Linked DNA regions of Struthio camelus. The protein of the gene in region 1 binds, or shares a complex with, the protein of each later gene. Links are inferred from orthologs where the notes say so. Each region holds a gene or a part of one and is shown in the gene's direction. Other genes may lie near its edges.

Region 1 (11,189 bases):
TGGACCTAGCTCCCATTTCTTATCATTCTTCAAGAGGCTAAAATCACTGTGGAACATAGGTTTGGTTGCCAAGGTCAGTACATAATGTGTCTTGCACCTTTAATGTAGCTTCCGGCCATGTTTTCCAAGTTCACACATGCCCATTTTATGTGTTTGAAAAAGATTTGGGCTGCTCACTTGGAGTGAAAAGCATTCCTTCCTGACTGTGCCCAAGAGACATCGCTCTGTTCAGGGGTGAGGGAAGCTGCTTCCTGTAACTCCTCTCCTCTTGCCCTCACATAGCGAAGAGATTTCTCTTCGCCATCCCTGAAATCTCAAACATTGCTGCTCCCTCTCCTGAGTCATCACCTGGCATCTGTCACGGTTTGGAGAGTGTTGTTAGGGTGAGGGGAGGGGTTTAGCCTCTTACTGTCTGTACTGTTCTGTTTGTTTACTGATGTCTTTAAACATTAAATCAAGAGGCAGTATTTTTCTTACCTGACCTGTTGTTCGTCTATTTAATGCTCATGCCTTTTTGGCTCCTGGCCTGTCGAGGACTGAGAATACATGTATCATAGGGTAGTGTCCTCTGCTGTCTGACCTGTGAAAGTTCCTGTTTGCTAGATGAATGGAGGGCATTCAGCTCCTCTAAGTGTATGCCGGCGAGTTTTCTGCTTCAGTGCACAATGAGGAGAGAGTCTTGAATTCCTGTACAAAAGGACAGGTCCCGTGGGCTGATAGACGCTCCTGCTTATCCCTCTGGTTCTAGTAAAAGCTTTACAGGAAGCTACAAAGCTGGTTTATGCAACCTTTCCAATAATAGTTTTAAATGTCATAGTTTCTTTGAGTTGCAGCTTGCGTAAGAATCTGCCCTTTGCATTCCCACTTTCCTAAAGCCCAAGTTAGAGACTGTTTCTCTTTGTTCCTAGACCTGCCACTGTCTACCTCTTCATTGCCCCTCCCCAGGCCCATGACATTTGTCATTTATCAAGTAAGCTCTCATGAGCCTGCGTGGATTGACATTCCTCTTACTTTTTGTACAGTAGCCACTGCCAATAAAGCTTCTGTGTAGAAAAACAGGAGAGGTAAAAGAGGAAAATATGATTCAGGAAGCATTGAACAGAGCGTATGTAACTTGGGATGTGAGGGCCAGAAGGAGACACCGACTTGACCGGGTCGGTTGGATGTATTCACAGGCTACGCCTGTTCCTGTTAGGCTGTTTACACAACTGCCAGCCCAAGGCCTCAGGATTATGGGGAGGAGGTAAAACTCTGCCACAAGTGAGCTGCAGCTCACTTTACTACTACAGTGTAAAGCAGGCAGTCATTCACTGTTACTCCCGCTATGTGCCTAGAGAAATAGTATTTTTGCATGCAGGGTTCTCTACAGTTGTTTCCACTCTACTTGACCAGTGTCCTAGGGCAAACAGCTTAGGATATCTCAGGCAATGATGTGCATTCATGTCCTGCATGCTGTGTGCTATTTTGCCCTTGCTTCTCCAAAAGGTTATAGTAGAATTAGACTAGCTATGGAGAAGGACGCTGAGGCTGATGAAAGGTGCAGCACAGCTTCTGCATGTGGAATGACTCAGTAGACAAGGATTCATCAGCTGGGAAGAGAGAATTGAGTTGGAAAATGATCTGTAAGTTCTATAAAGTCATAAGCGTCAGAGAAAATCTCTCCTTCTACAAGAATTAGAGGAGCATCAAAAGAAGCTAGCAAGTGGCTAGTTCAAAAGAAGGAAGTTGTTTTGTGCATACCTAGATGGACAGTGCAACTTGCCATGAAGTACTGTGAATACTGAAAGCTTCTGTGGGTTCAGAAAGGGACTAGGAAAAAAAATAAAAAGGACCAAGGTTGTTAAATTCAAAGACACTTCTAAGCACAAATTTTTGGACACTGGATGTATGTTCTGTAAAGTATTGCTATGCGCTTACCCTAAGGCTTGGTTAATCATATTTGTGTTCCTTATGTGCTTTAGCTGACATGCTGTACTTTGCATATCAGAAGACTCAAAATGCCAGTACAATGGCCAGAGTTTTGAAAAACAAAGACTGGAATCTGAACAGAAAATAACTTTTTTTTTTTTTAAATTCCAGTTCCTGTTTCATCTGATATCATCAGAGAGCTAGCTTGTTTCATCTGATGGTGTCATCAGTTGTATCAAAGCTGATTTACAGGAATGCAGTCTCTCACCTCTGGTAGTAGTCAATATTTGCTTCTTCAAAAGAAGAGGGAAATCCTCCCCTTGTAGCTCCATCTCTTACTGATGAAGACTGTAAACTTCGCAAAAACTCCACAGCCAGTTCTTAGTCAAAATTACCTGTCCTGTTTGCATTGAGGTACCTCTGTTACTTTTAAGAAGCAACAAATTCTGGGGCTTTCAGTTGTATTGCTCTTCCTCCTGCACTTTGATTCGCACATCTCTTTCTATCCCATAATAAGCCCTCCCCTGGCAGCCTTTTTAGGCTCCATTCCTCCCACAGTAGAGAAACGTAAGTGCTTTCTTTCCTCCTTGTGATATGGTATGCATCACTTGTACAGCCTGTGCTATTCAAACTTTCCCTCTTCAGAATCCTTGTCTGTTCTGGGTTTTGAAATAAGGCTGCAAATTCAGAGGATTGTCTTTATCTGGGTTTCTGATGGGTTTTCTTGGAAACGGCTGTGAAACAAATTCAGGCTGTAGAGATTTTTCCTCCCAGTTGTATTTTCCCACTGCAACGGAGCTGTCAGAAATGAGAAACTGAACTAAAATTGCCATCTGATACTGCAGGACTACTCAAGCTGCATTAGACCAAAGGTTCATGTAGACCAGTGTCTTGTCTCTGGCATCACCCAGTAATAGATGCCTACTGAAGTGGATAGGAACAAGACAAGTGTGAAATCCACAGTAGTAATATACTAGATAAGGTGGCAAACTTGCACATCTTGAATGTGGGGTCATGATATGTATCTAACACAAAATTGACTGGTAGGCTGCTTTATAAAGTACAGGATAGTCTGGTACCAACTGAAATTAAATTAAGCCAGATTTATTTATCTTTAGGAAATGTGTGAGAACCAACACTTGCACAAATAGATAAAACAGCTGCAGTTTATAACGTACACAGTGAGCGTCAACTGACTGCATTTAGTTGCTGTTATCGATGGGCAACAGAGATCACAGAAGGGTGAAAAAAATTCAGTCACAAAGTTCCTAGAGAGTACTTTTGTCCTCTCTTGCTGTATTTTCTTTCCTATATTTTAGCAGGAAAAAAGCTCCCTTTGTATTTTTGAATTCAGTTGTTCAAAATAGAGGTAGGGATGATGTGAATGTCTCTGTGATTGAGGTGGAAGCCCTTGATCTGGGAGGTTTCCTAAAGGTGACAGAGTTGTGGCTCCGTCTGACAGTTCCCCCCAGAGCTTGACCCTCCTTGGCCAAGGATGTGTTGTTACAGGCCAGCCTCATGCTTTGTTCAGATTTTGCAGTCTGCAGTCGTCCCAGAGGAACACAGCTCTGATGTGGGCTGATAAGCTGAAATGTGGACTTCTCATAGAGCCGTAACCGGGCTCACTAATTGCTTTGAAAATGAAGACCAAAAGCCTTAAATGACTCTTCCAAAAATGACTGGGAGCCAACAGAGTAACTGGAGCAGGTGCTTAATGCTTATGGCAGCCAAAAAGAGAGGGAAGACAAGGTGGCCTGTCCTGAACTACTAGCAGCTGCCCCTTGGACACAGCGAATGATGTAATTTAACCTGGAGGCCGCAACCACGTCACTAGCTCCCCATTTGGAAGCAAGGTAAGTCAGTGGAGCTCCATAAGTGAACTGGCAGCAAAAGGAAGAGTGCTTAGTCATGAGCAGCATATAGCGACTGTAAGGCTGGAGCCCGGAACATGGGCGCACCTCCGGGACTAGGAGCAGCTTGGCTTTAGTTGCAGAGGATGCCTTAACTATCCCTTCAAAACATTTTCTGGCCAATATCAGAGTGGTCCTGCCTGGTATGAATCTGGGAAAATGGGTGTTGGGCACTAGAAGTGTCCCCCCTCCTCTCGGAGAGGAGACAGGACTGTGTTTTGTTGAGCACATTCTGTGATTTCACGGGCAAATGGAACAGAAGCAAACAAGCATTTTCTGGTCATTAAAAGGAGAAAATTCAGGCCTATTTGATGAATGCACTTTTGAATAGCTGCTTGTTTCAGGCTTGCCTGCTGTGCATCAAATATTGACTATGACCTAAGCAGGAAAGATGTGTGTTGAGAGACTGAATTATCAGAATAATGCCCACGCGGGTGCAGCTATGCTGCCCTACAGGGTGACTTGCAAACCTTTTGATGGGAACAGGATGTAATGCTGGGTGCCAAAAAAAGGTGCGACTGATTTTGCCACTGCATTGTAGCTCAGTTCTATTTAATAGAAACTTAGATGAAGGGGTCAGAAGAATTCATTTGGCTCTGAAGAGTGAATATATTCAGAGATGTTCCTGTCCTTGGTGAGTAACTCTGCTTTATTTCTATTTTAGTATTTGCACAGATCATGTTGCGGGAGAGAAAGGCTAGCTAGAAATGAATGCATGTGGTTGTTACTCCAAGGATGGGATCAAGCTCCCACTGCAGTAGCAGTGTTTTAGAAAAATTTCATGCATAATCCTAGCTGGTGGTTTGTGAGGCTTCTGCAACTGTGCTTATATACTCAGGTTCAACTCCTCCTGCGAGGGACATGTGCGCTGACTCCTGGGGGCTGGACACACAGCATGGCTAGTTTGGGTACCCAGAACAAGCAGTTATTTTGGCTTTGTAGGGATAGGCGCTTAGGGCTGGAAGAATCCAACCTGAAGCAGAAGCACCCTTTTTATCCTGAGCCTGGCACCCTTTGAAATATCCTGTGCCTGCTTGTTTGAAAAAGAAACAACCCGAGGCCCACATGGATGGAGCAAGCCTCCAGAAGGTAATGAAAAAAAGGTTGGGAGAAATACTATGCTTTGGTGACAGAAAAACAATAGATAAGAAAAAGCCCAAAGGGCTTTGCTTGCAGAAGCTGAACTTGGATCACTGGCCTTTAGAGAAGGGTTGTGGCGTGAACCACATGGCACCCTCAAAAGGACCCTCAAAGCACTCGAGTGGGATGCTCCAGGCACACTCGGATAGCACGTGTGTGAACAAACAGTCTGGCTGTCCTGCCCGGTGCTGTCTGCGGTCCCACGTAAGGTGAAGCAACCGTTGCTGTGCGTGATGGGGCTGACTCCACTCTGAGCAAGTCCAGTGGTGCCCGAAGTACTGTGACGCAGAAAGCTATCACGTCAACTCTGTTCTTCGGCAACGAGGTGCCACACAAAAAATTGGCTTGCAAAGAAGCCTAGATTGGCAGTACTCGCCACTTAGATGCTTACCTGTTAATTAATTTGGCTCAATGGCGATAGAAGCTGCTGAATTGCTGTAGCATCCAGCTGAAAATAAGACTGGAACATGTGCCAGGCCTCCCGTATCCAAGCGGGTTCACTGAAGGAAGGAAGGTGGAAGGGCCTCAGAGGAGGATCCTCTGCAGCGTGCCACCACGGATGCCTCACGCACAGCACCGAGGAAGCCACGCTGCTGCTCAGTCTGCTGTACCAGGTTATTTTTCAGGTATATTAAGTTCTAGTTACGTTTTCGGAGGGGGTGTGTTGGTGACCCCTGGCTTGCTGGCGTACCTGGAGTTCTGTGGCGGAGCAGGAGCTCCCGGGAAGAGGTACGCTTCAGCCCTCGCCGCAGTTAGGGACGCGTTTCTGCTCCAAACAGGACCGCGTATATTGGTGGGGCTGGAGCTAGCATGTCTTAATTCTTAAGGACACGGGTGTGGGTTTTTTTCCAAAGCCTCCTTAGCAGGAAAACGGGGCCCGATGACAAAACGTTGGCAACCTCCCGCAGGTCCCCCAGCGAGCCGAAACCGGCCCCAGAGGACTGAATGAAAGAGCAGGTGCCGCCACAGCGGCGTAGGGCAAGAACCCCCCAAGGCGGCGCGCCGCCTCCCTGCTTCGGAGCTGCCCGAGCGCCAGCGGCGCCGGGAGAGCGTTTCGCGGCGGCGGCGGCCGGGCGCCGCCAGGGGGCGCGCGGCGGCGGCGGCAGGAAGTGGGCGGGGCCGGAGCGGAAGCGGAAGCGGGCTCATGAATATTCATGCGGCTAATGAGATGCTGCATGCGGGATGAGGCGGGCGGGGCCGGGCCGGGCGCGGCCGGGGCGGTTGGGCAGCGCGGGCTCGGCGGCCTGAGGAGCCGGCGGCGGCATGGAGGGCGGCGGGGGGGCGGCCCGCGGCGGCGGCCGCGACAAGAAGCGGGGCAAGGCCCCGGCGCCCGAGGAGGCGGCGGCGGCGGCGGCGGGGCCCGGCGACCCCAGCAAGTCCAAGAAATTCGTGAGTGGCGGCGCGGGAGCGGGGGGGGGGGCTGCGGCGCCGCCGCCCGCACCTGCCGCAGGTGCCGGGCCCGGGCGGCCGCGGTCACCGCGGGGCGGCGGGGGGGGCCGGGGCCGCCCGCAGCGAGGAAACCCCGGCCAAAGCCGCTCCGCTGCCGGCCGGCCGGCGGGCGGCAACTTTCCTGTGGCAGCCTGCCCGGTGGAAGCGGACCGGTTTTCTCTTGCTGACGGGTTTGTTCCCCCCCGAGGAAGGGGGGGGGGGGCGGGCTCCCCCCGCCGCTGCCCGCGCCTCGCTGGCGGTCTGGGTCTGCCCGGGGGGGGGGGGGTCCGTGGCGGGCGCGACGGCGGCGGGGCCGCCGGGGCCCCCCCGCTTCGCGCTGAGCGTCGCTCGTTTTCACGGCAACGGGTCCCCCCCCCCTCCCTCCCCCCCCCGCCGGCCTTGGTGATGCTCAAAAGGCGCCTGAACGCGGTGTCCCGCCCGCCGCTGTGGCGGACCCCGCGGGAGCGGGGCGCTGGGCTGGGTGGCGGCCAGAGGTCCCTCGCCGCCGCCGTCGCCCCGCTGCCGCAGCCGTTTCTGCCGTCCGGCTTTCCGCCTGCGCTGAACTTTCTGCAAGCGCGCAGGGCGCTGCCGAGCGCTGCGCTGCCCGCGCTCGCCGCGCTGCGGGAGTTATTCTGCGGTGATGTGCACTTAAGTGATTAATCAGTTGCGCTGACTGTATGCAGCGGCTTTGAAGATGTTATCAGGAACTGGCTGAAACTGGAGACAACTAGGGGTTTTTGCTGGTTGGGAAGTTTGGCGGGGGAGGGGGGTCACCTGTATTGGCACTCTGGAAACAACTACAAGTCTCGACGCTAAGCGAAAGATCGGTGCATCCCTTTCCGTCTCTTCTGACTGCTGCATGACTTACGGAGTGTTTACACTCTGCTTTTCTTCCGTATCAGTTCATGGACTGCTTCTGCTCCTATTAAATGCAGTAGGAGCTGAATTCAGTAGCGGTTTAGCAAAATATCTGCTATAACAATGGGAGGTGAAAATGCAGTAATCCTGTTGTTCAGAGTTTGAAATAGTATTGGGTTCCTCTTGGCATCAGCAGGGTACATGCATGTCTTCCCCTCACCTTTCCTGTTGGCATACCACTGGACTCTGGGTTAGGTACTTTCTCCTCTCTTTGTTGCAGTCTGGATATATGCTTGTGTACTGACGCGTTTGCAGGATGTAGCTTGCCGAAAGGAAACATGTTCTCCTTTGGGAATCACAGAATGGCCAAGGCTGGAAGGGACCTCTGGAGATCATCGAGTCCAACCCCCTGCTCAAGCAGGGTCCTCTAGAGCACGTCGTGCAGGATCACGTCCAAGCAGGTTTTGAATATCTCCAGGGAAGGAGACGCCACAACCTCTCTGGGCAACCTGTGCCAGTGCTCTGTCACCCTCACAGTCAAGAAGTTTTTCCTCAGATTCAGATGGAACTTCCTGTTTCGGTTTGTGGCTGTTGCCTCAACGTAGAAGTAGAAAGGAGATCTGAAAACTGAGATTAACCTTCTTTTTTGTTTGTACTCTTTTTTTTTTTTTAACGCAAGTTCATTGTCATAGATAAAACGACACTTTTTTGCTATTCATAAGGATATGTTGTGTCCATATGGGTCATCTATTAGATTACACAGCAGGGAGCTATTTTTGTTCCTTTATTATTACTGTGCACATAAATATGTTTACTATTTTGTGTTATTTATGGTAGTTTGAGTTCGGTAGTTTAAATCTGATTATATAGCCTCGTAGTAGTGTTTCAGATGGTCTTAACTAAAACAACAAAAAACATACTGATTATACTGGTTGGATATATGATTTTCATGAATGTATTAAGTAAGGAGGTATGAACTGGAATTAGGTGACAGGTGGATTCTTGTCTTCTCACTACAAGGCAGGTTTTCGAAGTTCGTAGGTACTTAAAGAGGCTAAAAGGTGCCCACTGGAATTTTGGCAAGTTAAACACCTTTGAAAACCTGGCCTTACTGCTTTTGATTTCAGAATGAAGAGAGTTCAGTTTCTGTAGTAAGTTTTTTATTTGTAAAAATTTCAGAAGACAAATTCAGTTTCCTGGCTTCCAGTGACCTGCTCCAAATTCAGAAGCTAATCTTTTATATCTGCTGGCTAAGCAGAAATCCAGAGTAATTAACGCACAAGACTTTTTCCATGTGCTGGGAAACAGAGTACCTCTAGCTAGGAAGTACAACAATAGCAACACTTGCTCCGAGACTGAAAATAGCATAAGCACCTAATATGGTAGATGACATTGTGACATATTTATGAAGCTTGCTTTAGCCTCAAAAGTTAGCTATTCCTTCATCTTCACCTCTCTCCTACTGCACAGTTTTGCATATGAACTCTGTCTTCTGCAGCATAACATTTTGGCCGCTGATTGCTATAAATATGATGCAATCAATTGTCATTGGTATTTTATTTGCAAACTTAATGCTCTCTAATTTGCTCTAAGTGTGCAAATCATCATGTCTCTTTATTAGATTACAGTTTGCTGCTGCTTCTCCTGGAGTTGACAGTGCATTCAGGCTTTTAAGCAAGTCTTGCTGCTGCCGCCGCCTTCCCAACTTCCAAACCTCGACCCACCCTTCCTGTCCTAGTGACTAATATACTTGTGCGCTACTTGGTCACTTCCCAATCTCTTCACTGCAGCAGCCTCCTCCTTGGTTCTTCTGTTACTTCATTCTATCCAAAATGCAACTCCTGTGTTTGTCCCCCGTCGTAAGGGAACAATGGAGGTTATAAAAAGTCCACCTATGCTGTTGGTTTACATCAGTTGCAGCTTCCTGAGAAACACCTGTGTGATATTAGAAAGCAGTGAAAGTAATTCTCTTCAGAACTCTGATATAGTTAAACTTGCCCATTTTTTTTTTCTTCACCTTACTTTCAAGATCGTGTTCGGTTCTGCTTTGTCTTGCATCTGTTTTTGTTTCTTGCTGTAACCTGTCTCATTTAGCTAGGAAGACCAATTTCTTCTTCCTTTTCTCTGGTTTCCTTCTTCTGAGGGAGACCAATTTCCTCCTTCCTTTTTCTGGTTTTCTTCCTCTGAATCTGTTTTCTGTAACTGTTCTTCACAGCAACACTTTTTAATACTGTTATTACATGCTTCAACCTTTTCATTAGGTCTCTATAGCCACGCTTTTTGAAGCACATCTGAAAGGTCTGATGTCTGGTCTATGTCAGTATTTACATCCTTTCTGATATGGTTAAGAGAGAGGAGCTGCACCTCAGATTCAGAGGAGACCCATGTCTGCAGAGATGTTTGCAAACTCTCCCGCACTGCGAGTGCTCGTGAAGTGTAGAGCTGTCAGGGGAGAAGCCTTGTCCCGTAATGCTCATCTCTCCTCTTCAGCATTGGGCTCTTGGATGTTTTCAGCGTAGCCGCGTGCTTTCCGCTTCTGGGATGTGTCTTGCATGTGGATCCGGAGCTTGAGGAGCCCTACGGTGCCGTCCTGCAGCTTGGGCTGCGCTCTCTAATGGGGCCCTGTGACAGCCCGTTTCCACGCGACAGCCGTGTGCTGCAGACCCTCTTGTGCAGGTGGTAGTGCATCTGTCAAGCTACCTGTTACCTGGAGTTTCTTTTGGTAGCTTTCAGATAAACTGAGAGGTCAGAAAGTATCTCACTAGTACACTAGATGAAACTGGCTGAAAAAGTCTCAAGCGTTTTGTTTGGTATTATAGCCCTACCCTACCACACGTCCTCCTTATATGTCTCTATTAGATCTTTCAAGGCAAAGTCCTGTTGTGTTTTTAGGATTAAGAAGAGTTAACTCTGAAATCTTGTTCTCCTTGCTTTCTTTTTTACTAAACTATTGCTGATTAATATGAAAAGTTTCTTGTTCTCTTGGTTTTTTTTTTTTCCTTTTTCATTTGACCTCCTGCTACTTTTTTATTTTATGCATCTGAGGCTTAATTAAAAAGTGGTGCTGCTTTTTTTTTTTTAACAGGTGTAAATATCTTTTTCTTCTGTTATGTCGTATGTGGGAAATTGTCTTTATATAAATTAGATTTGTTATTTGTGGATGAATGCTGAACTCTGCTAAGCTGAGCATTCAGAAGTTAAAGTTAGAATGAAAGTTGTCTGGCTGTAAATTTGCATCTTCCTTTTGTTAACACATTTATCCCATGATCCTGAATGATCCATGATCCTGAATGATCCATGATCCTGAACGATGTCCCCGCCTCTTTGTGTGTCGAAAGCCAGAATAGGGTTTGTTTGCCTAACATATTGTAACACCTGACTGATTTATTATCTGAAAATCTGTTACTTATGAGTTAATAAAAATCAATGTTGTTGACAGCGTATGTAACACGTGAAGTTACTTGACTATCAAAATACACAAGCGTAGTCTGTACTAGCTGCTGGGAATCTCTTATTTTTACGTCTTGTTCAGCTGAAGTTTGGAATCTGAGGCTTTTCAGCAGCTTCTTTCTTCCATGTGAAAGCCTGGAGTGGAGTGACAAAGTCTGAGACTAGCTCAGAGTGGACTAAACAGGATCTTGATTATAGGTTTGTGGTTTGTTTATGCTTATCACAGTCCTTTGATTATCCTGTAAGTGTTCAGCTTTTGGAGTTTATGAGCTGGTTTTGCAGCTGCTGATTATCCAGGCAACGCTGACTGTTAAACCCTTGTCGTCGTCTTCAAGGAGGGGGAAAAGTGTTAAGCTGTAATCCCCTTCTTTAGCCTGTTAATTAGTGCAAAAACTACAAGCCATCAGGCTCCAATCAAATAATCTAAGAGCTCTTTTTCTCCTAGTTGAGAAGACAAGTTTGGGCTTAGGCACAAAAGTCCTCCCCGGGAAAGGC
Region 2 (11,385 bases), on another chromosome or scaffold:
CTGAACGAAAGATTAATGAAGGAAACAACATCCTGAACAAAGCTCCCCGGCTGCCCACGTGGTAGACAGAAGGAACAGCAGAAAGCACCACAGAAACAATCACATAAGGAAACTACAAGCTAGAAGAACATAAAGGTTTGTCAATTTAATAACAGGATCGTGACCACGCACAGAAGGCCACGACTGGATACAGACTGTGACAAATACACCGTCTGCCAGGATGCTGCTGCTGACATTTTGATCACGTTAAACATGGAAGAGTGACATACCGCCCTGGTGTATTTGCAATGTAACCTCAGTGTAATACTGCATTAGCAGAAGTCTTCTTTAGATGTATGCTAGCACAGGGCAAAAATGCAAACCAATTATTAAAAAGGTAAAATCATATACCATTCAACTTTGAAAGAAAACATGAGACGAAGCCTTGGAAAAGTCAGATATTGTTCCTTTTCATCCAACAACATTTCTCAGTGAGGTCAGTTAAGTAATCACAAAAAGCAGAGATACAGACTTCATAGTAATAAAACAGTTAGCTACTCTTGTTCAACCACACTGAGCAGATATCCCTGAAAAAATGATCGTCTTTTGAACCCGTGCTCCCTCACTCTGTTTCGTTTTCCTCCTTTCTGTCTCCTCTCCCTCTAACTTCAGGCTTCTCCACCTCCCTCACTGAATTTCTTAGTCTCCATTTTCGCTTTTTGGATTCCATACCACCTTTCACTCACTGAAATAGTGCTGAAAGAGCTGACGAGCACATGTAAAGGGTCACCGACGAGCTTCAGCAGGAGTAACTGGACAAAAGAGCTTGGATTGGCGCTGCTCCCCCCTCCCTCAGCTGTACCACGCTATCCTTAAACTTACTGAATTTCCTCCGGTTTTACAACCGAAGAGTTAATGCTCAAGAGGGCTATCAGTTTGGGTTCAATTTACTTTATTTTTTTAAAGCAAAATAAAATATTGCAGGATCTAAGTACACCAAGTAACTTGAGTGCTTGACAAATCCGAATACACAGCAAGCTGGGTCATACAGGCCTAATTCTGCACGCCTCACTCATACAGGGACTCTCACTGAAGACACTACTATGAACCTGAGACTACTTGCCCAGGTAAGAATTTACCTACATTTTTTAACGTATAATTTATCAGATTAATGTTTATAGCGTGTTGGCCGCTTGTGAAATCAAGTTCTTAGTTTAAAAGCCCAAAAGCTGAGCAAAGCTCCATTTCCAGCATCTTTATGACTTCTCTGGCTAGACAGTCTATAAACCAGATCCACAAAGAGTTGTCCTTACTCAGATTTAAAGCTATCGTACTTGAATAGAAGCAACCTCATACCATTAGCATCTGACACAGCAAGCATGTCTAACCTTGCATTCATTTTTATAAGTTACATTTTAGGTTTATGTGGGAAGTTGAGGGCTAAACAAAAGATAAGGAAGAAAAATTCCTCTTATTTACTTACCTCATTGACCCCTAGAAAGGCAAAGACTCTATACTGGCACAACCACACCAGGCAAGACTCCTCTATGGAGATTTAACTGACATCCGCGCTTGGAGCTAAACTGCCCTTCCAAACGATGGAAGAGGTACTAACAAAAGACCTTTCTCGCAGAACCTCTTGGATAGTTTCCAGCACCGTTTTACAAGATTCTTTTTAGTGCCATCATAACTATGCTGACATGGGATATGGCTTTTTTTCTGCACAGATGTAGCTAGGCAATAAAACTTTGCATTGTAGCCTCAATCTAATGTTCATTTCATTTTCTATAACCATATTTTTTTAATCCTCAACTCATTAATATTTAATTTTTACTATTTAAGTATTTACTAATACTAATTATTTAATACTTCTAGTTAAGACTCATCCTAGCCTTCGGTGGCTTCCTCGTTCTCCATCCAAGTTAGTCAATCAGTTGGGGAAGCACGCTAGTAACACGGGTTTCTGGTTATCGCCATGAGATTACAAGATAGGACGCTCCCTGCTTCTCGGCTTTCCGTCAGCGGCGCCGCGGCCGCTAACGCACCGCGCTGCTAAATCAGTCCCACCCTCTGCCCGTCCGAGCGCGCTTGCGGTAAAGAACACAGGCTGCCACAGGACGTACCATGCGGTCGAGAGAGGAAGTATCAAAAGCAGTACCACAAACTAATGCGAAAATTGGTAACACTGGAGACAAAGAACATACTGAATGAACTTTGTTGGTTTAGAGGTACTGAATGAAACGTCACAGTCAAACCACCAGAAACTCACAACGTGGATTTTTTTTTCCCCATGGTTTCAGGTAGACTGGTTATATCTGTGGGGTGGGTTTTTTTTTTTTTTTTTTCCCAGATTAAGTTTTCAATTAAGAGCAGCAACACAATAAGCTTGAAAATAATATTTCTATTTGAAAATTTTGTACCTAAGTGAATTCTGTATTAGAAAAGAAAAAAAAATCGAAATCCTTTCTTCAATATTGTTCTGTTTGCCCTGTAAAGTTTAATTTTCATTGTGAAGTCAGTCTTGCCTTCTGTTGATGGTCACCTGCTCCTCCTGTCTATACATAAATGCCATCTACAGTTATCTCCAAATGGGTGAATTTGGTGGAAAACAAGAAGAGCCGGGGACATCACAAGAAATCTTACCGTTAGCCCTCCAGCCACGTTGGGCACGGCAGCAACAGCGGTAGTTATAAAGCCTGACAGAACACTGCAACTTATTCTACCTACAAAACATACACACCTCTTCAAGGTTTTGGCCAACTTCAACTTTTATGTTACTAATATAAAGGCAGTGAGGCGTTTTACAAAGCTATAAATAGTACACAGTCTACATTTTAAAATGATTTCAAAAAAGCATTTGTTCTTAGGTTTGATCCAATAAAAATTTGAGGTGACATTCTGAACCGAAGCAAAAAACCCCTAGCAATTGTTACAAGCTGCATTAAAAAACGCGGCAGCAGCGTACCTTCCAAAAAGGGGGACTAGCAGGCAGAACGTAAAAAGAGACTGAAAAGACAAGAAATCACAGTTCAGCAACCACTAGCTCATCTTAATTTTATAGCTCATCTTAATTTTATAGCTCGTGTTCAAATAGGAACATTTAACACATAAATATAGGTACTGATATTAAGATGACCCACTATATCTATGAATTTTAACAACATTTTTATTTTTATATAATCCTTCATTTAGCAACCTGAATGACTGTCATACATTCTCATTAAAATTCGTAACAAAAAAAGTACAACGGGAACCCCTCTCTCTTGCCGTCTTTAACATACGGCGCACATCCCCGTTTTCTTAACTCAAACAGTCTCAAAGCTGCTGTTGCAAAAGCGTCAACACAAACAGCGTTATAATGATTCTGTAAGATAACTTCCAACGCTACCAAATCAGACATCTCACAGTACAATTAGAATTAGAGGATTATGATTACAGATATAAGTACTGGTGACTTAAAATTTGTGATTTATACAAGCTACCTTGTAGTTTCATAATATTAAATAGTGGTAACCCAATTTAGACTTCACTTTCTAAATACATTGCTAGCGTTACTCCACGAACCACACCAGTAAAAGCTGAGCTACCAAGTGAGTATGTGGCAAATTCTCTCTCTACTCCCTTCCATCCGTTTATGCTCAGAAGATCCAAGGCCTCAGCGCAGTTGTTTCCATCATGAAAGGCAAACAAGCGTACCCCCTGCCTTGCTAACACAACCTCTTTCATCAAAGTGCCACTTACACTAGTGATTACCTATGTTTTGCAGCTGTTAAAAAAGGGATATTCTGCACAAAGCAGTGGTAAGATTATCTGAACCACTCTGTATTCAACTACATCCAAGTGAAAGATTTGACTAATTATGCAGAAGATTCACTAAAATCAGCTGATTTTAAACTGATGAGACTGCTGGAGTCCCAGGGATCATTAAGGAGCACCTCACTCGCACCAGGCTCACCTGGCTGCTGAGGACTTGAGGGCGCTCGCAGGAAGCAGGCTGTCGGGCAGGACCTCCTTGTGAACTCACCCAGGAGGGAGTGATGCGTCATGCTTTTGGGAAGACGGGCTTTCACGAGTCTGCTAAAGGAATCCTCGTCCCCCTCAAATATACTGCCCTCAGAGACAACACTGGTTCCAGCTTTCTGTGGTTCCAGCACAAAACAGAAGTGGCTCGATTTCCCGTTCATCAGCAAGAGACATGACACATGGCTGCTAAAGTACCAGCACGCCTCTCCTGACTAAGTTCAGCTCTGAAACGGCAGGCACCATTTGGCCCCCATCTACCATGAAACAGGACGTCAGGCTGTGAGCGCTCTGAAAATTGGTATTCTCGGTCCTCAGGCAGAAGGGAGGGCCGTATGTGTCAGAACGGGTGTGCAAGAAGGTGAGGTAACTCCAGGCAAGAGGCCAGCGCAGCTTTTGGCTAAAGCCCTGGATACCCGCAGCTTCTTGCGACCTCTACCTCCACGCTTGGACCAGCCAGCCTGCTGCCCACGCAAAGCCTCCCTAATCAAAGGATAACGAGGCTGACAAACGAGCAGCTCAGGAATTCCCAAGCCCTGTCCCTTGGGCAAAGGGTGATAAGGTGCCTGCTTCTCTATTTATTAAATCCACTTATTAAAGTGGAACAATCTGGAATTCTCACTCCGGCTTGCAAAAGCAACAAAAAACCAAAAACACATACAAATAAACAAAAAATCCTCCGCACTTTGATCCAACTCCAACAACAACAAAAAAAAAAACCCATCAGCCTTTTGTTCTTTTCAGACTGATGCATTCCGTCTGTGCAAATAACAGCGGCGGCCCAGGAGCCCTTGCAGGAAAACATTAACAAGAGAAGTGGTCCTCAATGGCCAGTTCGGACAGAAGAGGCCTTTTCCTTCTTCCCATGAAAGTAATCTGGGGAGAGAAGATGAGGAAGGCAAACCAAACATCACAAAAACTTTTAGCTATTTAAAGGGCCAAAGGCAAATGTAAAGCCCATAACTCGTTAGCAAGTACAACTGTATGAGGACATTTCTGGGACACATGGATGGATGGATGGGAAAGCATAAAGCAAATGGTGCTGTCTAAATTCAGTAGGGAAAAGGCAGTGTGAACATAAAACAGCAAAAATACTTATAGATTTGAGCTAAAAGGTGCAAAATAAGCTCTTCAGTAAGTATCAAATAATCAAAACAGCTTCTGTTAGCATCTAAACAACAGCCAACCCCATGACAACTGAATTAGGGTTTAGTTTAAAGGGAGTAAGAACAGCCTCAGGCGTGCAGAGGGTACACTGCTTATAAATACCTGGTGAATATTCTTGCTGGGGGAGATAACCCCAGGAAAAACCAGATTCAAATATTGTATTCTGTGCCTTGGAAAATTCAGGTATTAGCTCCAGCTGCTTGAATTAGAGCTCCAGAGTAAGCTACGTGGAAAGCCACTTCACGCTCCACTCATTTTCATTTCTAGGGAGTCATAAGAGATAAAGCAAACAAAGCAAAACTGTCCTGTCCAAAAGGAAGGGGACCTGTGAAATCCGAATTTTAAGTCGGACCGAGCCATTGCCCTGAAACCCCGATTCACGCAGACGCTCCTGCAGTTTTCAGGAGGAGAGCGTTGTGAGGGGCGAGCCTGCCCGGGGCCGAGCGCCAAGGCATCAAACCCGCACCGCCAACGCGGAAACTGAATTGTCTCGGCAAAACCTCGTCGGAACCCGGGAGGGGCGAGGCGAGGCGAGGCGAGGCAGCGGCGGCCCTGGCGTCACGGCCGCCCGCCCCGGCCCCGGCTGCGGCTGCGGCTCGGGGCCGCGCCGAAGGCCCGTCACGGCGCCAGCAGCCCTGCCCGCCGCCCACGGGCTGTGCGGGACAAAACGTGCAACGCCGAGGAGGGCGGGCAGCGACCTGAGCTCCGGCCTCGGCGGAGGGCAGCCGCCGGCTCGGACCGCACCGGACCGCACCGGACCGGGTCCCGCCCTCCGCCGCCGCCTGGGGGGGCTCCCGCGGCCCAGCCCGGCCCCCCCGCCGCGCCCCGGGGACCCTCCCGCCGCCCCGCTTACCGCGCCTGCCGACCGGAGCGCGCCAGGCCGGACCGGACCGGGCCGGACCCGGGCGACGGCGCCGCGCGACGCAGCCAGAGCCGGGCGGCGGGGGGAGGCGCGGCCGCGGCGCACCGCCCCCCATCTCCCCCCCCCCCCCCCCCCCGGCGGCGGCGGCGGCCCGCGGGACGCGGAGGGCGGCGCCGGGCCGCGCCCCTCCTCCCGCCCGCCCCTCGCTCGGCTCGGCAGCGGGTGGGCTGGGGCGCGCCGCTCGCTGCAGCGCTCGGGCTCCGCTCCGCCGTCGCGCGCCGCCGAGGAGGGAGGGAGCGAGAGCGAGAGGGAGAGGGAGAGGGAGAGGGACCGCCTCGCCTCGCCTCGCCGCGCCTCAGCCGCCGCCGCCGCCCGGCTCCCGCCGCCGCCCGCCCGCTGCGCCCGCGCCGAAGATGGCCGGCTGGCAGAGCTACGTGGACAACCTGATGTGCGATGGCTGCTGCCAGGAGGCCGCCATTGTGGGCTACTGCGACGCCAAGTACGTCTGGGCGGCCACGGCCGGCGGCATCTTCCAGAGCATCACGGTGAGGGCGGCGGCCAAGGGCGATCGGGGGCGGCCGGCGGGCCGGGGGCACCTTGCGGGCGGCGGGGGCGGGCGGGAGCCCCGCGCCGCAGAGCGCGGCGCCGCTGCGGGAGCTGGGCCGGGCGCTGCCGCTGCCTTTTTTGTCTGCGGCTCCGGCGGCCGCCGGGCCGGGGCGGGGGGGCTGCGGCCCGCTGCGGCGGGGTCCCGCCCCGCGCTGCCCGCGGGGCCGAGCCGGGCCGGGGCCGCGGGGGCCGGTCGGCGGCGGCGGGAGAGGCCGCGCGGGGCGTGCTCGGCGGGGGGTGGGGGGGCGCTTTGCGTAGCGCTGGCTGCGCCCGGGCCCGGCGCTGCGGAGGGACTTACGTGCGCGGCGTAGGAGGCGTTCGTGAATACCCACCGCGCCGCTGGCTCCATGTTTTGCATCGCCAAGATGGCGCACTGCCATTGATCGCTGCCTCCCTCCCCCCCCCCCCCGGCCCGGCCCGGCCCGGCCCGCGCCGCCGCCCCAACCCCGGCCCCGGCCCGCGCTGCCCGCACACGGGGGCGGCGGGCGGGCGCCGTGCGGAGCGCGGCCTGCCCTGGCCGACCCGCCGGCAGGCACCGCACCGCGCCCCCGCCCTGCGCCGGGCCGGCGAGGGAGGGAGGGAGGGAGGGAGGGAGCGAGCGCCGGGCCGGGCCGGGCGGTGCCGGGCCGTGATTGGGGCGGCCGGGCCTGCCGTGACTCGGCACTTCGCGGGCGCCGCGCCGGGCCCGGCCCCGCCGCCGCCGCGGCCCGAGCCGCTTTGTTGCCCGGGCGCTGGGGGCGGGCCGAGCGGCGGCGCCGCGCTGCCCCCGTCCCTCCCGCAGCCGCCGTTGGGCGGGAGCCGGCCTGCAGCTTCCGAGGCCTTTCAGGACAACGGTCCTTAAGTTGCGCTAAACTGCTGCAACGTGAATCGTGAATAACGAGCACGGTGTTCCCGAGCGCTGTCTGAGGGATTTACTGCCTAACCCTGCCTGCAAGAGAGAAGGCCCTTTTAAAATAGGGACTATGCTGTAAGGTACTACCATGCTAACGCTAGACTTTTCTCTCCGACAGCCAATAGAAATAGATATGATTGTAGGAAAAGACCGAGAGGGGTTCTTCACCAATGGTCTGACCCTTGGTGCAAAGAAGTGCTCTGTGATCAGAGATAGCCTGTACGTTGATGGCGACTGCACAATGGACATCAGGACAAAGAGTCAAGGTGGTGAGCCAACGTACAACGTTGCTGTAGGCAGAGCTGGCCGAGGTAAGCGTCGCTTTCTTCGGTTTCAGTTCACTGAACTAAGAACGTGACTCTGATCATAGGCTCAGTCTACGAAAGGAGCCTGAAATCTTGTGTTTAACAACTAGTTTCAGGATGTGACATACTGTGGGTGGATGGCTGCTGTCTGGCCGATTAACTAGATTTCTGCCTAGGAATTCCACTTGCCCTGGTTGCCCACGTGTGATCATAGCTGGGCACTAGACTGCTATATGGTAAAACACCCCTCTGAGAAGCAGGAGTAGGCTATGGATTGAAGTAAGCTTGCCAAGTGTACTGTAACTTGCTATTTAAAATTTACAATAGAGTATCATAGGGATAGGTTAATGCTTTCTAGTGAAATTTGCTTTTCCCTTGTAAACTCAACAGAAAGTTTATTCTGCAAAGATGTGAATTTCTTGTACGAGCGAGCTACTTCTACATGCCTTTTAACAAGTTCCACACTAACTCTTCTTGCACTTTCTGTTGAGCTCTGTGAAGTCTGTCTTCAGGCAAAAAGGCCTGTCCAATTCGGTATCACTGAGAAGCTTGATTTACGCTAGTTTCACCGCTCCTTGCGCTTCTCATTTAACTTCCAGGAAAACATGTTACTGGGAACGCACTGGACTTGAATGTAAAAATCTTCCCTCAAAACACTGGGTACAAGTAGTACGGCTTGTGTTCAAAATATCTAGCCTAGAATTTTTTGGATAGCTATAGGCTAAATTGGTGAGCAATGGACTTTTGCTTATAAAGTACGAAAAGGTAGCACAAAACTTGTCTGTCGGCTAAAGCTACGCGGTGGCGACCATCCACAAAGAACGTTGGCAGCCCTTACACAAGTAGAGTTCTGAATCTTCTCTGCGCATTCTGAAATGCTAATGAGAACTGTTTGTCTTAAGCTTCTTGTGAGCAAATTGCTATGGAGATGTGCAGTCACCTTTAGGTAGGCTGACTGCAGTATTTCCAATTACACTATTCCTAACTTAGAAAAAAACTATTGTGCTTGTGAAAGCACAGTGCTTAATGTGGCCGTATACATGCTAGTGACATCTGGTGGCAACTTGCAGATGATGCCTTACTGGTTGAAGAACCTTAGCGTGTTCTCATTTGCCAGACAGTTTGACACTTCATCACCCAAATTGTGGGATTAGAGAGAGGGTCAGCATTAAAATCTTCTCTGCGCTTCATCTCGTGCAAAAAGTTAAGTGTTTTTTATAGCTGTATTGTTGCACAAGTCTTAGCTCAAGTCTGACCCTGTATTTTTTTACTACTACCAAGCCTGGTTCTTTTGCCAGCAGTGACCCCTACAGATAAGAACGTTCCCTCTTCTGCCGCTTTTCAGAATCACAGTTCTTCCCTACATACTACCGCTTTTGTTAACCTTTTTTTCCGTACGTTTAAAACATAGCCAGGGTTTCCTGGCTGGCTGATGATGAATGGTGCTGATGGTAGATAGGCATCATGATGCTCTTCTGAGATAGCTGGTAGCTCTTCAGGTTGACATCTTTTTTAGCAGTAGACTCTCATGCCTTACATAGTTGTGTAATATCCTGGAGGATAACTCATGCCTTCTCCCAACCCCATCTACCATCTGTATTTTTACAAAACTCCTGTTAAACGAGCTTAATACCCAAATACTAAAACTTGAATTTGAGTGTGTTTATTGCACTGTCTAAAACTTGCATTATTTTCCTTGTCTAACACACTCTTTTTAAAACTTTTTTTCTTTTCTCTTTCAGTCTTGGTCTTTGTAATGGGCAAAGAAGGGGTCCATGGAGGCGGATTGAATAAGAAGGCATACTCAATGGCAAAATACTTGAGAGACTCTGGGTTCTAGTTGCTAGGCAGACTGTTAAGTATTAGGGGAAGATTGCTATTAAACTTTCCTGGCGGTGAGCTTTAAACCTTACATTCTGGAAACTTTATTAGCAATGCAGGGTGATGGGGTATGAACCTGTGTCTCCTTTGTATCCCTTTGTTGGTGGGGAAAGGTGTTATTTTTTTCTTTAATTCTGTTCATTTCTGTTTTGTTTCCTTGTGTACTCCAGCATTGGTTATAGTCATGGGAAAGGAAGGTGTCCATGGAGGGACACTCAACAAGAAAGCATATGAACTGGCTTTATACCTGAGGAGGTCTGACGTCTAAGCAGCCTCTCCCCATCCACCTAGCAACTGTCTTCATCACCACCCAGTTGTGTTCAGTGCTACCAGACTGTAGATGGTAGTTTGTGTTTTTTATTTACCCATTTTCTAATGTCATAATTCCAGTTACCCTTTGTTCATTTGTATGTTAACCACTGTATGTAACCAAGTCCCATATCTGGCACCATTACTGCACCACAATGATGATATGCATGATACCTTGAAAAACTCTTGGGAGGGGAATACGCCAAGTCTAGGCTTTGCTTTGTCTTAGCAATTAGCGTGGTATTGACAACTAAAACAACTTAAATACTAAACAAGGTGCCGATTGTACAATCTGATTTGATCAATGCCTCTTCAGCACTTTGAGCAATTACGCAGCTCACTTAGTCTTCCTTTCATAGAGCATGGGTGGGAGGAAAAAAGTGCATGCATATCTTTACTTCTCTCCCTCTCCTTTTTTTTTTAATTCACGTTTTGTTTGCTTAACCTATTTTTATAGTGCCTGGTTTGTTTAACCAATTTGCCACTCAAAAGCTATTAATGTTACATTAGTTTTGTTGTTGCACTTCACTGTAGGCTTAAGTCTTTTTTTTTTTTTTTTCTTCATGGTGTCTGACGCACGGACTGCTTAATAAGTGCAATCACAAAACTATCAAAGGGTGCAGATGCACTTCCTCCCATGACCTTACAACCACCATCCTGAATGAATCGCCAGGGACATTCCATCACTGCAATAGCTCAGGCACTTAATTTTTTTTTTTTTTTTTTTTTTTGCCAGCTCCTGTTCTGTAGTTGAATTGTAAAAGGCTGCCATTATGGACATTAGATATCCCAACATAACCATCTGGAGTGTGTCTGGTTTCAGTTTTTCATAGGACCAATTTTAATTTGCAGCTTGGGTTTTTTTTGTTGTTGTTGGGTTTTTTTCCCCCCGTTTTTTTAATATGAAACTGCAATGTCATTGTGGAAAACTGCCACCTTCAGCTATTCTGGGAGCTCTGACTGACTCCAGTCTTTCTGCCAGATCACTTACTGGTAAAGAGTTTTGCTGCTCTGAAGCCACTATTTGGATGAAGGTTGGTAGTTTGCAAGCTAAACTGTCAAAATGATGCCATTTCAAATTTAAAATCTTCATTTGGCTTGACACACCCTTGCTGCAGAAATCATGAAGTGAACTGCCTTGTGCACGAGTCATCTGAAATGTGTGTAACCAAACTCAGTTCAGGCACGGTACTAACTTGTATGTCCAATTAAAGAGAACTGCAGAATTCTGTATACAAAAGAATAAATGGGAGATGGTGTTGGTTGGAATAACTGACTTGGCTGTCTTGTGATGAATTTTTAATATGTATTCTGTGCCATACTATTGTTTAAAAAAAAAAAAACTGTTGCTATTGTGAGATGGA

What was found.
Region 2: the proteins of DIAPH1 (region 1) and PFN2 are in contact, whole or in part, in a crystal structure (PDB 2V8F), measured with the Mus musculus proteins. The link is inferred for Struthio camelus from reciprocal best matches to the Homo sapiens genes DIAPH1 and PFN2. Residues at the interface, in NP_031884.1 of Mus musculus: Ile635, Pro636, Pro637, Pro638, Pro639, Pro640, Leu641; in NP_062283.1 of Mus musculus: Ala2, Gly3, Trp4, Ser6, Tyr7, Asn10, Ala28, Tyr30, Trp32, Arg108, Met131, Tyr134, Leu135, Ser138, Phe140.

What each region holds. Positions count from the first base shown.
Region 1 is NC_090954.1:22,032,510-22,043,698, forward strand, and holds the start of DIAPH1 (protein diaphanous homolog 1), read left to right. Parts: upstream 1-6,221; coding exon 6,222-6,347; intron 6,348-11,189. UniProt on the Homo sapiens protein: Actin nucleation and elongation factor required for the assembly of F-actin structures, such as actin cables and stress fibers. Binds to the barbed end of the actin filament and slows down actin polymerization and depolymerization.
Region 2 is NC_090950.1:33,983,811-33,995,195, forward strand, and holds the start of PFN2 (profilin-2), read left to right. Parts: upstream 1-6,221; 5' UTR 6,222-6,441; coding exon 6,442-6,573; intron 6,574-7,644; coding exon 7,645-7,837; intron 7,838-9,573; coding exon of another isoform or gene 9,574-9,671; exon of another isoform or gene 9,672-9,882; coding exon 9,883-9,980; 3' UTR 9,981-11,385. UniProt on the Homo sapiens protein: Binds to actin and affects the structure of the cytoskeleton. At high concentrations, profilin prevents the polymerization of actin, whereas it enhances it at low concentrations. By binding to PIP2, it inhibits the formation of IP3 and DG.